Regions from separate parts of the Mus musculus genome. Here all the other regions are reported to be linked to region 3. Evidence: microRNA targets listed by miRTarBase, many of them from high-throughput screens and not tested one by one. Region 3 holds a microRNA gene; each other region holds the end of a gene's coding sequence.

Region 1 (4,066 bases), not on the chromosome of region 3:
TGAGCGTGGGCGGTGGTTGAGGTCAGGGTCACCTGCGCACCTGTGATTAAAGCCCCCTCCCTCTGTGAATCCACCATCCCTCCAAGAGCCATTTGCAGGCCTCCTTGGACACCAATCTCACCATTTACTCTCCTTCTCTGTTCACATCAGCCATAGACTAAGTGGTCAACAGTAGACTTGGTATTTCCTCTGGATGGTCCTTCTTGATTTGGGGCCCTAACGGGCTATGATCTGGTAGTATTCTTGCATATTGCCTACCCTGTTGCAAGGCGAGGGTTTAGTGGTTTAGAGGAAAGTGGTCCACTTCCCAATGCTAAGAAGACTCTCTTTTACAAAGAGGTTTGCATTCAATAGCTCTCCTTACTAATACTTCCCTGGGGGTAGAATTAATTTAGGGTTTCCATTAGTACCAGCAGGCTGAGTCCAAGGCACAACTGAGTGTGTAACTCACTACCCACCTTGGCTATCAATCTCCATGTCTCCCCCCAAATTGAACAGCCCTGATAATAATCCTGGGGGAGGGGGAGGAGGATTTCTCAGAGTGTTGGGTCCTTCTCAACTGTGAAGAGGGGGGCTCCACCATCACTCACACAAATCCCCTCTCCCTTCAAGCCACATGGGCCCTGGTGATGACGAGAGTGTTGTCAGTTTAATCTGTTAGATGCAGGACTTTGGATTCTAATAAACCGATGCTATATTTAACCTGTGAAAAATTCAAGAGTGGAAATCTGGGCTTCAGGATGCAAAGATGCAGAAAGCACAGCGGGGAGGGGGGGTCTCTGTCTCCTGAGCCAGGTTCTAGGACGGTAGCAGGTATCCTGGTAGAATATAACAACCCTCAGCTTCCTCCGGGTAGAGGGCCTTAGAGAGAAAGACATGGGTTGATCACACTGGAGGCAGAGAGCAGGGCAGACCTTGGACCCAGAGGCCGACAATCCTGAGGCTGTGCCTTACCTGTGTGCCCCAAGTCACAAGGCTGGAGTAGAGTCCCTGTGTCACTACCTGCCAGACACCCATTTTAAACTCCAGCAGAGTTCTTTCCAAAACCAGAGAGAGGGAGGGGGGGATTGCTAAGAAAACAGAGTAGATGGCACATTTGGACTTGTCTTGACAAAAAGGGGTGGGGAGAGGGAAAAACCCGTAGGCGTGTTGCCGAACATTTTTGAAAGGGCTTAATTTAAATTTTTAATAAAAGAGTATCTTTTCTTCCTTCAAGTTGAGGTGTTTTATGTATTACATGGGTGTATCGCATCTCTCATTTGTATAATTCTAGGTTAGGAGCTCTGGTTCTGCCTAACTGCAAGACTAGCTTCAATATAGTAATAAAGGTATTTTACAGTTCTACATGATGTTCTCAGCATTTTGTTGGAGTGATTTGCCAGGGCCAATAAAAGCTTGTGATTATCATATAAATGCTTCCTTCCTACTCCTCTCCCCTTCCCCCTACCTACCCCCCACCCCTGCCATGGATGGGTCCGAACTCCTCCCAATCCCTACCCAACCTGGTTGTCTCTGCTTGCTTTAACTTGGGAAGAACAGATGACCCCTAAGTCTGAATACGTGGGTCCTCTCTACTTTCCCCTTGGAAAATCTTAAGTTAGCAAGAATGAGCCATTATGTACAGAGTCTTCTTAAGACCCTTCAGCCCAGGAACACTATGGGGCATCCAGAAAGGACACCAGAGCCACCCAGGAGAGGTATCCAGCGTGACCTGACTGAGGCTCTGACAGTGGAGACTTTATTACGACATTCCTTGCCCACAGGGGTTTAGCCTCATGTGCATCTCTGATGTCTTTCCAATTTTTATTCCTGAGGGAAATGCTATACAAGCCTCCGAGAGTTCTTTATAAACACCAAAGTTCACTAAAACTCCCCCTGATTTACGCGCAGCCTCCAACTGCCAGCACCTGGCAGACACAGCAACCGAGTCAGTCATAAACAGATCGCATACAATTTAATTTTAATGTGCTCGTTAGTCGTAGCACATCTCAGACATAATTGTGAACGCAACACAAAATTATAGCAAAAAGACAATTTTAATGCTGCCGTAGAAAAAAAGGGTTATATGAAGAGTCACATCATGGTGTGCCATCGTCAACAACAAAACAGGGCACAGAGTGTGTCACGGTGTCTGTGGTGTTTACATGCCAATATTTTATACATAGGTTCTCATATGGTGTCAGCTGTCAGTTATTTCTGCAAATTAACTGCCAGAAATGGAGACAAGAATGGCTTGGAGAGCCGGTTACCACGGGTTACCTTTCATAAGCCTAAAGATAAAACTGCAGTGTGGGATCTTGGGAGAATAATTAGGAGGAACAAAACAAAGTTACCGATTGAAATTAAAAAAAAAAAAAAAGAAAGAAAGAAAGAAAAGAAAAGAAAAAAGAGAAAGGGAAAAAAATCCCACATTATGAACTAGCAACCGAGAGGGCTTATAAATAAGTGAAGGGGCTGTCCCACAGAACGACTCTTGACTTTTAAGCAAAGGATTACAGTACAAACATTTTAAAGGCTTTATCAATGTTCAGGAAATACAGTACAAGTTGGGTTTTTTTTTTTAATCTTTTTTTTTCCTTTTCGAATAGACTTAACCCTTTGAGCACTGAGTTTACTTTGAGCATCCTTTAATTTCTAATAAATACCTTTAAGAACCATGTGCAAAATAGTTATGATGCCTGCCAGGGATGGATTTCCTGACCTCAAAACAAATGATAATAGAATGCTAATAAATATGTATAATTTAAACATGAACCCTCTATCAATATAGATGTGCCGTATAGCAAAACAAACATCATACCTTGCTTTGAGATAATGCTTCTGTATATTTTATAAATGCTATCTGTGGTATTTTCTGTATAATTTACAATGTTTGCATGTAAAAAAAAAACCATAAACCTTAAAAAAAAAGAAAAAGATAAGGAAATATACACTATACAGAGGCATGGCTTGTGCCCAGAGTATAGCAGATACATAAAACACTTGTTATAAATGCAAGAAAGAAAGGGTCATTTAACCAGTCACATTTTCCCATAAGAGTTTGAAATCTATACAATATATACATCTATGTTTCAATGTGAAAATAATATTCTTTTAAATTTCAAGGCGTGTCATACCCCTGCATAAATGGAGGTTCCTAATATTCCTTATAACTAAGCTGGTAACGAGTTTTAAAAACAGAGTTTCATACATTATTATTATTCATTATTATTTTGTTTTATTATTATCTTTTTTTTATTAACCAAATTAATGCAAAAGTGCTTCGTAGTACTCAGAGGGCTAAAGATGAAAGGGTGGGAAATGCCAGCACACCCAAGTCTCATGGAAAAAGTGTGCCTGGTTTCCTTATAAATGCTTAATTAAACCGTCTGTTAATGCATGCAGCTTGAAGCATCGAGGGGATGCTCACAATTAAATCCCATTTACACAAAGTTCCAAACACTTAGCACTGCGTTTTAACCTTCGTTATTTTACCAGTAACAACAGCTGATTATATGCACCTCTCTATTAAACACTGTACAGTTAGACCGAACAGTCCAGCCCAGAACAATCCTCTGCAGTGAACATAAGAACGTGTGCCAAGAACAAGACAGAGAGGGGCTTTAAGGTGCCTTCAGCATTTTCTCCTCCAGTCATTTCCGCTCTGGAGCAAACGCTACTGCTTCTCCAATTCAGAAACGAACAGGAGGTGGTCTTCCGGTGATTTCCCGTGGGTTTTGCTAAGGTGAAGTTTAACAGCATGCTTGCTCGCAAAGGTCCGATTACAAAGTTTGCACTGGTAGGTGGTCCCCAGATCCTCCTCCGGGGAGGATGTCACCAGTTTTTCAGACGGCGACTTGGTTTGTGCTATTTGATTGTTAATCTGTTCGGTGGACAATTTTGATAAGTCCCGTAGCCGGAAGCCCAGATGTGACTCTAGGTGGCTGATGTACGTGGAAGGAGTCCTGATTTGTGACGCACAGTCGTTACAAAAGAACACTGGGTGTCCAGTGTCCAAGTTTTTGAGGAACTTTGTTCCACCTGTCCTTCGAAGTTGGTACTTCACATTGGCCAGCCAATGGCTGAT
Region 2 (4,066 bases), not on the chromosome of region 3:
CCAGGCCACATCTCCAGGTTGCTCATTTCAACGTGCTGAGGGTGATGCTGGGGGTATAGATAGTATATAGTATGTCCTCTCACCCAGGCCTGGAAATGCCAGCCAGCCCCTTCAGCAGAAAGGTCAGCGATGGGAGATTATTGAGCTACCTATGATTTTCGCCTCCGATACAGAATGGAGACCCCAATTCTCAACTGGCTAGGATGTCTTGACCAAGTCATCTCCAGGAGACTGTAAATGATCTGGGAGGAATAAAGTTTCTACCTTTGGGGGCTTGTGTTTCTTCTTTTAAAGGTTTTTATTTTTCTTTCTTAAAATCTAAAGGAAACTAAGGCAATCATTGACCCCCCCCCCCAAAAAAAAAAAGCACAGTACAAATGATTCTTTGGTTTTAATTTCAGGAGACGACCGAAATATTGAGGAGGTTTATGTGGGTGGAAAGCAGGTCGTTCCATTCTCCAGCTCAGTGTAAGGACCTTGGACATCTGCGACATTCTCCTGGGAAGACATGATTCCGCCATCTTCCTTGTGCCCAGGGACCAATCAGAAAGTATATTTACAAAAAAGTACCGTGTTCTTTGGATGACTTCTGTTCCTGTGTCTCCTTCCAGTGCCCACTTGGTAAATTGTTTGAAGGGAGTGCGCTGCTTCTCCACTCCAGTCTGGGAGCATTGTAATTTCATGACAGTGCCTCCCATTGGGCTGTTTAGATTTGCATTGTGCTCGCACAGAAGACATTGTTAACAGCTGGCAATGCGCTTCCAATAGTGAAGTAAAACGTTTCCATATAGGGAAATACAGGACGAGGAGATCTCCCTATGTGGCTAGACACTCTGTGCTAATGACTAAGAAAATTAGGAAACTCCAGTATGGACCAATGAGCAGATTTTTATGAGAGGGCACAAGCTAGACATTGAAAAGACATTGGAAAAGTCATTGGTTGTGCTTGGAAATTTAATATAGAGAACAGTCTCGTAAAAGGAGAACCTACTGGATTTAAAACATGCTTCTAGATCGACATTGTCTATGGACATTTGCACTTTGTGAAATTTGCATTTCAGGATGTGTTATTGTTATGCTTTCCCTTCTTGGGATGAATGTCAGAACCTGAATGCCACACGCTTTTCAAATATAGTTCTATGCTTCAAAGTGTTCGGCAGAAGTTGAGTATTAAAGATTTAAAGTCTCTTAGGGATAGTATTCACATAGCCGCAAGGCATAAATAGTTGTGTTTTTTTGTGTGTGTGTGTACTTCAAAGTCATCTTGATTCCTGGCTGTGAGGTGTTCCAGTTGCTTCTGTTTTATTAGATGAGAAACAAGCCCTGTGTGTTGCTGCTCTGTAGACTGGAGTTTTCATAAATCGGGGAAGTACTATATTCCCCGGAGTTGGTGACACTGAGGGGACAGGGTTCTTTGCAATGCTGAATCTACCCAACGCATAATCATTGCTGTACAGTTCACCCTCCTATCAATGTGCTAGAACTTAAAAGCCAAGTGCAAGTCCCTAAAGCATTATGGATAAGGCTCTGCAAGGCCAGTATACTGAAAGAGCTCTGTGTGTGTTTGTTTGTTTGTTCGTTTGTTTTAATTTACCAAATTGTCATTGTAATTCTTGAAGATTTTTCTGGCATTAAAATCTTAGAATAGTGAAAAGGATATAAAAATTCCATCTAATGTTTATATTTCTAGGACTTACCTGTACTAGACATCAAGGAATATTAAACAAAAGAGGGCCTTTTAGCTTTTCTAACGTATATGGTGTCCCTTCTCATATTAGAACTAAAACCAGGTCATAACCACGTGGCAGAGCTTTAGGAAACAGTGATGTGTATTCTACTTAAATACTACATTTTTCTTAATTAATTCCACCTCCTATAAACAAGCAAGGGCCAGGAACAGGTTTTATTAACATATATTTCACTCCTAGGGTTTAGGTGAGTTTCCATTGTATCTTATAACAGAGAAACCCATTAGGCAGTAGTTAGTTCTCACATCTAAGAACACACAGTTCTTCTGTTCTCTATGCTAACTCAGCAGTAACTTGTCCAGATCTATTTTCCTGGTAGAAGCACTTTTAGATCTGGTGTGTATACATTATATCTCAAGATGGTACACATTTAGGTCGTACTTTGTTTTATTTTGAGAGAGAAAGAGAGAGAGAGAGAGAGAGAGAGAGAGAGAGAGAGAGAGAGAGAGAGAGAGAGAGAGAGAGAATTTGTTTTGTGGGATATCGGTGAGTAAATCCAACCCCTGGCTTTAGTCTGCATGTCCAGCATTGCTAGCACATCAGAAATATCAAAATGAGCTGCCAGATTCCCCTCTCCCATTTCTCTCTGAGGCTGGCAACTGTTTAGGCTGTCTGTTTTGACTCTTGCCAAAGGGTTTACAGACCCCACACTTGTCCTCTTGAAGGGTGTGCATTTTGATGTTGAACATCAGCTTTTATTTAAACTTAAGACTCACATGCAGTAATATAGGCAAATGTAATTCTGGAAGCAGGAATAGCAGTGGTAATGTAACACCATCCTGTTGAGATTCAGATTAGTCCTGATAATGTGCTGCCAGTTGAATTACTTCTAATAAAAATAAGGTGTTGAAGTGTTTACATGTACTTTGAGTACTTTGATCTCCCTGCACTTATATGTGTTTTAGTTCCCCAAGTGAAGTGTTCATGAATGTTACCTATGCTTGTTTGAGTGTCCCACACATAGGGCCAGATATCCTGCACTTGGAAATGCTGCGCTCACCTAATAACGTAGGTTGACTTTCCTAATTATGGATAGGCACTGTTCCAAGCCTATCCCAGTTGTCACTTTATGTTTGAATGGTTTGCTCTCTGTAGAAGAAAGGAAAAGAGAAACAGAGAGAGAGGGGATGGGAGGGAGGGAGAGAGGAAGGGGGAGAAGGAAGGAAGGAAGGAAGGAAGGAAGGAAGGAAGGAAGGAAGGAAGGAAGGTTGTCCTGCCTATTCCATACCATTTGAATAATTTCTTTAGAGTTTTTGATGGACTTCATTGTAAAAGGTTAGAAGGCATTAAAAGTTATCATGTGTGTTATATTTATAACATATTCTTGCAGCCAAAACACAAAAGTAGACTAACCAAGTTGAATTTGATTTAAAAAAACAAAAAGGCAGGGAGGGATCAGGGGCATTAAAAATAAGAGGTTAGAACCTAAGAAGTCATCCTTATCTACAGGGCCAAAGGGGCTGGATTCCTCTGTTGTGTTATCTTACCTGGTTCTTTACTTACACTGTCAAAGACTTCACAGTCCCAGAGGGTATGCCAGGAGGGGGCCTTTCTAAATGAATCCTGTGAACACTGCATTTCTTTGCTTCTTTAGTGAAAAACATTTCAAGACAAATGAAAGGAAATGATAAAAAAAAAAAAAAAACCTCTTCATTGCTTTGCTGATTTTGAGGTATGCCCTCAAATATCCCCCAAAGCAAACAGAGGCAACATGAGTGCCAGATCTGGCAATATGTTCTAAATCTTCACTCTCTACCAGATAATTTCTATTTTTAAGCTCTTTCCCTTTGGAAGCAGACACATGAGAAGCCTTCCAGGCACACTGGGATGCACATTGTACCCGTTCCATCAGTGTGCATATGTGGAAGATACCCAGAACTCCGTGCTTCTGCAGCCTAGTGGACATCTTTTAAGGTTGCTGTTGCTGGACTATTCAAATATTTGAAAAGAGTCATCTTAGCTGTTAACAGGTAGAAGGAGACATGTATCCTGGGCAATGACTCAAAATAAATCTTAAATTACAGGGACTCTATGATACATTAAAAAAAATTAAAAGACCAAAAAGAGATGTTTGCCATTTCTAATCTCCTAGCTGCTGCATGTATGATTTTGCACAATACACTTTATAATGTCGTGGGAAGAAGCAGACAGGGGAGAGGTCACTGAGAGAAAACTCTTGATATTCGTTACCACGCATGTTTTAAAGTCTACCCCACCTTCCTGCCCATCTCCAGCACTGAGATGCAGTGTTGTGGGCCTAGTCCATGTTTAGTGAAATGCAATGTCAAGAAAGTCAATGAGGAAATTAAATGTAAATT
Region 3 (4,066 bases):
TCTGAGAACCACCCCTCTAACACCCAGTCGGCCTTAGGGCCTGGAGGCCCTGTCACCCTGAGTGAGATGGAGCTGGACACATCCAGTGTGCAGGAGCTGGTTCAGCAGCTAGAAGCTCTACCCAGCGACCTGGGTGGCCCATTCCCAGATGGAGCCCCCTGTCCCCTGCACATTGCTACCGGCCAAGGACTTGCCACCCAGGAGAACCCAGATGCTGGTGGGCTCTTGTCGGCCGAGGCAGGCGGGGACGACCTTCTGGGTCTGCTGAGGGATGAGGCCTCTTCGCCTGCCCAATCTGTCCCCCAAGATCCTGCACAGACTGCACCCCGCCTTCTGCAGCCGCCAGAGGACCCTGATGGGGACCCGGGATGGATGGAAGGGGCATCAGCAGAGCCAGCAGACAGCAGGAGCTCCAGCAGTTCCCCGGAGCCCTGGCTGGAGACAGCACCCCTGGTGACACAGCAGGAACCACCTGTGGGTACCCAGGTAATAGTGCTCGCCTCTCTGACCTCTGACTTCTGACCCTCAGCCATGACTGGGGACTCAGCCCTGCACCTCTTATCTTCCAGAGCCGGGAGACCCTGGCCTCGTGCCCTGCCGTCACCGAGGGTGAGTGTCCATTTTTACACAGAAATCAGAATGTCCTAGAACAGCCCAAAAATGGGCTCTCAAGTAATGACACAAAGTTTGCCAGTGATGATCAAGGTCTAGAGAGGACTGAATGAGAGCAGATCTTAGACGGCCAAAGAGGTGACATAAGCTGTAGAATGTTCTAGAAGCCATGCTGGTTTAGCACACTGGTTGACAGAGGATAGCTCCAGGCTGCTCTGGGGAGTTTTGAGAGCTAAAGATGGCATTTACAGGGCTGGCGAGATGGCTCAGTGGGTAAGAGCACTGACTGCTCTTCCAAAGGTCCTGAGTTCAAATCCCAGCAACCACATGGTGGCTCACAACCACCAGTAATGAGATCTGAATCCCTCTTCTGGTGTGTCTGAAGACAGCTACAGTGTACTTACTTATTATTATATATATAATACATATATATATGCATATATATGTATATATCTTTTTAAAAAAAGCCAAGCAGTGGTGGTACACGCCTTTAATCCCAGCACCTGGGAGGCAGAGGCAGGAGGATTTCTTAGTTTGAGGCCAGCCTGGTCTACAGAGAGAGTTCCAGGACAGCCAGGGCTATACAGAGAAACCCTGTCTCGAAAAAAAACAATAAATAAATAAATAAATATTCATGGGTGGGATTGTTTCAGGGCTATCGAGGACCCAGACTTTGAGACGCTCCAGGCTGACTGAAGAGAATTCTAGATCATCATGGATTTTTATCTTATTTCTTTTTCTTTTGGTTATTTTTGGTTTCTCTGTGTAGCCCTGGCTGTCCTGGAACTCACTCTGTAGACCAGGCTGGCCTTGAACTCAGAGATCCGCCTGCCTCTGCCTCCCAAGTGCTGGGATTAAAGGCGTGTGCCACCACGCCCGGCCTTGATCTTCTGTCTTTTTTTTTTGCATTTATCGAATATGGCAGAGGATCACTTGTGGGAGTTAGTTCTCTGCCCACCTTGTGGTATCCCAGGGATCAAACTCAGGGTATCTTACTTGGCTGAAAATGCCTTTACCCATTGAGCTAAATTGCTGGCCCTGCCCTGCCTGATTCCAGAATGTTAGGGACTCACGACACCACCGTGAGGCCCTGAGCTCTGACTCTTGGTCAGAAGGTTCTGGAAGAGGGGTCTTTGAGCCCTGCAACCTGTTTTGGGTCCATTCCTCCTGAGGGTGCCTCATAGTAGGGGTGACACTTCTTAGGATCCCTGAAAGTGGCAGGTACAGAGCTGGCCACCGCACACTGAGCCTCTGGAGTCTTCTAGTACAGGATCTTGTGCATGCTAAGCCGTGGACAGAACCATGAGTTTCTTGAGCAACAGCTCAGGGATTGGGGACCTCAGAGCCTGTAGAGGTCGCACCCCTCACTGTCATCTGCAGTCCCAGGTCCCTGTGGGCCGGAGGAGCTCATGGATGGTGTCATCTTCGGGGCGAAATACCTGGGCTCCACCCAGCTGCTGTCAGAGCGCAGCCCGGCGCCCAGCACACGCATGGGGCAGGCGCAGGAGGCCATGGACCGCGTCAAGGTGAGCCAGGGTGGAGTTCCTGGGCTGTTGGATTCCATGTCCCAACCACCTCTAACTTCTGTGTCCCCTTCCTACCCTGCAGGCCCCTGAAGGCGAGACCCAGCCCATGGTGGAAGTGGACATCTTTATCTCCACCAAGCGTGTCAAAGTGTTGGCTGCTGACTCCCAGGTACCCAGAGGGCTGGGCCTTGACTGTCGTGGACACTTGGGGTTCCTGAGAGGCCCCCAGCCCACCCAGCGCATGTCCACAGGATGCCCTGATGGACCATGCCCTGCAGACCATCTCCTACATCGCAGACATTGGGCCTGTACTGGTCTTGATGGCCCGGAGGCGGCTGGCCAGGAGGACAACTCCCCAGGACCGCCAGCGGCGACTCTACAAGATGCTGTGCCATGTCTTCCACTCAGAGGATGTGAGCAGCCGTGAGCTACGCCCCCTCCAGAGCATCTAAGAACCCTTGACTTAGAAACCTTGAGGTGTCCTGAAGGTGTGTGCATTGGAGCTGAGATTCTGCGGGATGGATTAGGAGTATATTGTCCTCCCACAGGCCCAGCTCATAGCACAAGCCATCGGCCAGGCCTTCAGCATCGCCTACAGCCAGTTCCTACAGGAGAACAGGATCGACCCCAGCCAGGTGGGCACGCAGCCCTCAACCGCTGCCAGCCACCCGCACAACGGCGACCTGGACCACTTCTGCAACAGCCAGAACTGTAGGGAGGTGAGTGCTTGCTCTGCCACAGCACACACAGAGCCACCCAAGGGACCATGGACCTATCCCCTGGCCTGCTGAGCCCACCCCACCGAGACCTGGCCCCATACTCCCTGGACACGGCCCCGCCCCCTTTGAGACCCCACCCCCTCCCTGAGCACACCCGCATTGGGCCTGATCCCACACTTCCCCTGAATGGGACCCTGCCCCCCTCCCCGAAGTTGAGCCCTCCCTACACCTGGCTTGGCTCTGCCTGCTCTATCTCTAAGTGCAGCTTCTCCCACACTGCCCCTGAATGTGGTCCTGCCCCTCCTGGGACCCCACCCCACACCCTGCCCCCTGAACTTGGTTCTGCTCCCAGGTTTGCATCCAGAAGCGGCCAGGTGAAGGCCTGGGCGTCGCGCTAGTTGAATCAGGCTGGGGCTCGCTACTGCCCACTGCGGTCATTGCCAACCTGCTCCATGGGGGCCCTGCCGAGCGCTGCGGGGCCCTGAGCATAGGGGACCGCGTCACTGCCATCAATGGAACCAGCCTGGTGGGGCTGTCGCTGGCTGCCTGCCAGGCTGCGGTGCGCGTGAGTCAAAGTTCTGTGGGCGGGGTTCCCAGGGGCCTTGTAGGGTGCATAGGAGCCCATTAACAGGGTCTCCTAAGTTAAGTGACTGTATGGTACCACTGATTGCATCCCCATGTTGCCTGGGAGATTGACGGGTGGGTAAACTGATGCCCGCAGAGGCCTGAGCAGCATGGTGGGTCCCCCCAGGAGGTGCGGCGACTTTCATCCGTGACGCTGAGTATTATCCACTGCCCACCGGTCACCACGGCCGTCATCCGCCGGCCCCACGTGCGCGAGCAGCTGGGCTTCTGTGTGGAGGATGGAATCGTGAGGCTGGGAACCCCCCCCCCCTAGGCCGGGTGTGGGGAATGGGCTAGCATACAGCCTAGGGAGTGGAGGCTAGCCTATAGCCTAGGGGCAGGTCCTGAGAGTTGTCCCCCCTCAGATTTGTAGCCTGCTGCGTGGGGGCGCTGCTGAGCGTGGTGGAGTCCGCGTTGGACACCGCATCATTGAGGTCAACGGGCAGAGCGTGGTGGCTATGCCCCATGCGCGCATCATCCAGCTGCTCACAGAGACAAGAGAAGTGCGTGGGAGTCACCTGACCCCGTCACCCCTGATCCTGTCCTACCCAAACCAACCCCGTCTACCTGACTCTTCATCTCTGA
Region 4 (4,066 bases), not on the chromosome of region 3:
GAAACACCGAGGCTGCTGCCACGCCGGCTGGTGCAAGTTTTATTGAGACAATGTACAAACAGGCCATGGAAACAAGGGTTTTGATGCTGGGACCAGTAACGCAAAATGGAATACAAAAATAAAAAGGCACTAATCTGTTAAGAAAAGACACTCAATGTATTCTAAGAATATAAGTCATTTAATACTGTTAATTTTATAGCACAAAATAAAACAAGCTATGATCCCCAAAAATAATTTTAAAAGCTTACACAGAAAATATTATTGCCTGATGCTTATGTTCTTTAAGTTATACACGTCAAAAGAGTTTTATGTCATTTTAAAACACACAGTGAAGACCGTCTAGAAGCAAGGCCACTGTCCTCCTGTCTCAGAACTGTCCTCCTGCTCCTTCAGAATATACAAGCAGCTCAGCGTCCACGCTCACAGCAGTTAACCAGGGAGGGGTTCACTGGTTCCAGAGTGAGGAGTCCACAGAAAGCATTAGTCTTAGGTACTGTGTTAAAACAATCAAGAATTCACTCATTTTAAGAGGTTAATGAACATAATATTAAAAGATTAAATTATGAACACCTGGAACAAAAACACATCATCCCTTTTTTTTTTTTTAAATGCTCATTATTCTTTTGAGTAAAGGTTACAAGAGCAGTGGCCATCAGTCTTGGCCCATCTTGTCTGTAAACAGCTGTAGAGGAAGGCTGGCACAGTGCCAGGATCGTGCAACTTGAAAAGAGGGCAGAGTCTCTTCCAGTGAGCACAGAGGGTTACGTCTGGATGACAAAAGCCAGGACACCCTGTCAACCTCGAAACAGGTGGCATCAGAGCAGTGCAGAGTGACAAGCATGCCTTCTGTATGGGGTTGGAGGTGGAGGTGGGGGGCTGTCACCCAGGACTAACTAGCCCTTAAAGCCCTCAACTACCTAATTGTTTCCTTCTCAGATACAACAGCCATAGCAAGTGGGTTTATCATCCCAGTACTTTCTACAACATGGCAGAGCAGACCACACAGCACTGATGATGAGAAAAGGAAGCCTCCATCGTACTCCCCTGAAACCAAGGGTCTTCCCAGAAGAGTGGGACTTGGGGAAGATGCTGCTTTCTATCAGTGAGAGAGATTTCCATGATTAAAAATCGATGAGCTTCTAAGTCAGAGAATTACTATTGTTGGCACGCACGCACGTATCCTGAGAGTTCAGAAAGTTAAGTCTTTATTTTGAGATCTGGATCTCTGAGGAAGCTGCATAGACATTTACATGTGCCAAATTAACTGATTACATAAAGCAAACTCCAGGGTTATGGGACATTCTGATCATGAAGTATTCCTTAGAGTCTTGCTGGTCAACAGTCTTGGGAAAAGGGAAACCCTGTTCTCAAAAATGGCTGTTTATGCTAAGCAAGGTGCTATAATCAAAAGGCACCAAGCCCTTCAGTTAAATGTAGTTTTAAAAGACCTTAAGAGCTGGGTGTGGTGACTCAAACCTTTATAATTTCAGCTGAGGCTGGGATGGAAATCTTGAAGCCAGCATGGGCAATTTATAGAGATCCCATCTCGGATTTCAAAAGCTTACTGGCAGCCGGTTATCTAGCACGTGTAAGGCATGAGGTTCAGGCCCCAGTGATGGGGTATCCCTTGGGGGTTGTGCCCTCAGTGAACAAGGTGTGTATTCCAGTGGAGACATCAAAGGCCTGGGGCTAAACTGTGTAACTGGCCAGAAGGCAAGTCTTAAATCTTGATTTAGGCAGAGTCTGGGGCCTGAACACTTAAGTCCACTCAATAGGTCTGGCTAGAAATGGCAGCTTTCAGAGACAAAAAGAAGTAACCTCTACAGACGTGACACTCCCCATACCCCAAATGACCATTACTTTGTCACATGAACATTCTTTACTATAGAACTTAGCCTGATGGACTACTGATTTAAAGAGAAACTAATGGGGCTCAAGAAATGGCTCAGTGGTTAAGGTCTTCTTGCAGAGGACCCAGGTTCAATTCCTAGAACCCACAGAGTAACTCCACAGTTCCAGAGGATCCAACCAACACCCTTTTCTGGCCTCCTAACAAACTACCCATGTGATACACATACATACATGTAGTGGAAACACCCATATACAGTTTTTTTTGGGGGGAGGTCTGAGGGGGGGATTGGGCCATCTTCTGATACAAGGTATGTATGTAGGCCTGCCTGTCCTGTGACACACTACATAGATCAGGATAGCCTTGAACTCTCAGAGATCCACTTGCCTTTGCCTTTCTGAGTACTGGGATTAAAGGTGTGTCCACCATGCCCAACATAAACAAAAATTTAAAGTCTTTAAGAGAAATAAATATAGTGGACAAAGGGTTTTGTTGGTTTTGTCACCTGAATATGTTCCATTAGTTCTCAAAGCCTCAGGCCTGCAGAACCAGGGCCATGGTTACAGAAGATATTCTGTAAATGCTAGAGCTGCTCACTAGCCACTACTCCATCTCTAGGTCTGCTACGTTCGTTCTGTGTGGAGGTGTATCCTCATCAGGGTCCAACTGAAAAGAGTGCACTCTAGAAAGGTTCTAGAGCTCTGGTTTGCCATGTGTGGATGAGGGATCAGACACATATCTGTAGTAGCTGACATGCAAGGAAAAATGGCTCATGATCGAGGGGCGTCTTCTTTTGCTCAGAAGCACTGTATTCTGGTTCTACTCAGGCTGTGGAACCAGAACAGACACCACTCTCAAGCTGCCTGGACAAGCTAGGTCAGTACAGGAAGGGCTGGGTGGCCTCTGTGGTGGAACACAGCAATGCAATTTAACTCACGGATCTAGTAAGCCCACAGACTTCAAACGTTTTCACTGAAGAGGCCCACCCTGTCTGCTCCTGTCAGAGGCAGCGATGACAGCAGGCCCACCCCCACCTTGGTGCTTCACAGCAAGGTACACCATGACTGCTGCTGTGCACTGTTTGCCACATGGTAAACAAGGTACTGTGGCAACCAAAAGATAAAGGCCCCTGGAGGGGGTCTTTTCCTATTTTAGTTACGTACAGTGGCTTCAGTTTGGAAGCTCAGAGACATGGATTGTTCCTTAGACCATCATAGACCAACCTACTATTTAAAAATCTGTTCAGAACACACAACTATAATTAATTAGTCTTCCAAAAAACAAAACTAAACAAAAGAAAATGAAAACCAGCCAGACTTGAGGAGTTCGGGACAGAATTGTCTGGAGTTTTACTTCCTCTGTCGTCCAAAGAAAACTGAGTTGGTGGCAAAACCACTGTTCTGTGGACCAGCAAAGCGAGACCTTGCCAAGCCTCACCGTCTCCATGCAGACCATCAGCAGGCTTGCTTGCTCTCTCTGTCAGCCTCCAGTACAAACAAGGCAGTGATGGATGGGAAGGAAGAGCTGCTCTGGGTTCCAGTCTCTACTGTGTGCTTCCACCAGTGTTTCCAGTTCACAATCCACAAGAACTCTAAATCAGCTACTCTTTGACAGCATGACTATGATACAAATGCCGAGCCAGCGAGCAAGGCAGCTGCTGAGGCATTCCGTATGTGCAGGGACTGCCAATGTATGGAAAGCTGACCGCCAGCAGCTCGGTGTAACTTGCATGTGACAGAGTGCTTCCCACTTCAAAGGAGACTGACAGGCAGAAGGAGGCAGCAGCAGGGACAGCACAGCAATCACTCGTTGTCATCGGGGTTCTGAGGGTCAAAGATTTTAACATGTGTGAAGGGGAAAAGCCCCTTGCGCCCATTCACCTCGCCTTCCCATTGGCCATTGATATTCATCCTTGTGACTTTCACAATGTCACCAACCTGTAAGGGAAGAGGGAAAGAAAACAAAATTAGCATCACTACAAACAAGGAAGACAGTTTACATTAAATCACAAACACTGTCTATACAAAAATCAAGTAGTACAAAGACACGAGATGCCACCAACCACCCAGGATACCTGTCGCTGGCAAAAACTCAGGAAGCAGCCTCTGAACACAGAGCAGCCACTCCCTCCAGCGTTACTAATAAATGGACATGTATGAGCATCCAACTCTAAGAACGTGCATGTTAAGCTGAATAAAAGGGTAAGAAGTGCGGACT

What was found. Region 3 holds the annotated microRNA mmu-miR-3057-3p (UCCCACAGGCCCAGCUCAUAGC, at 2,679-2,700, shown strand). A microRNA usually pairs through its seed, bases 2 to 8, with sites in the 3' UTR of a target mRNA and lowers its output. Matches are read on the target gene's strand: a 7mer-m8 pairs with bases 2 to 8, a 7mer-A1 pairs with bases 2 to 7 and ends in A, and an 8mer does both.
Region 1: miRTarBase lists Tshz3 as a target of mmu-miR-3057-3p. Seed matches in the 3' UTR shown: 8mer at 2,458-2,465 and 7mer-A1 at 2,405-2,411.
Region 2: the mRNA of Gda is a reported target of mmu-miR-3057-3p. Seed matches in the 3' UTR shown: 7mer-A1 at 2,223-2,229.
Region 4: miRTarBase lists Crkl as a target of mmu-miR-3057-3p. Seed matches in the 3' UTR shown: 7mer-m8 at 2,799-2,805 and 7mer-m8 at 1,994-2,000.

What each region holds. Positions count from the first base shown.
Region 1 is chr7:36,771,423-36,775,488 of GRCm38, reverse strand. Tshz3 (teashirt zinc finger family member 3) reads right to left here. Exons shown (of 2, transcript NM_172298.3): 2 at 1,936-4,066. The coding sequence ends at 3,656. Among named protein-coding and RNA genes, the nearest start is that of Gm36722, 75 kb to the right of the region's middle.
Region 2 is chr19:21,391,594-21,395,659 of GRCm38, reverse strand. Gda (guanine deaminase) reads left to right here. Exons shown (of 14, transcript NM_010266.2): 14 at 402-4,066. The coding sequence ends at 472. Among named protein-coding and RNA genes, the nearest start is that of Gda, 79 kb to the left of the region's middle.
Region 3 is chr10:81,268,976-81,273,041 of GRCm38, forward strand. Mir3057 (microRNA 3057) reads left to right here and starts at 2,622; the gene lies at 2,622-2,712. It overlaps Apba3 (amyloid beta (A4) precursor protein-binding, family A, member 3), which reads left to right. Exons shown (of 11, transcript NM_018758.2): 2 at 1-486; 3 at 570-609; 4 at 1,993-2,138; 5 at 2,221-2,307; 6 at 2,390-2,551; 7 at 2,687-2,857; 8 at 3,210-3,422; 9 at 3,609-3,728; 10 at 3,847-3,984.
Region 4 is chr16:17,483,381-17,487,446 of GRCm38, reverse strand. Crkl (v-crk avian sarcoma virus CT10 oncogene homolog-like) reads right to left here. Exons shown (of 3, transcript NM_007764.5): 3 at 7-3,786. The coding sequence ends at 3,652. Among named protein-coding and RNA genes, the nearest start is that of Aifm3, 6.5 kb to the left of the region's middle.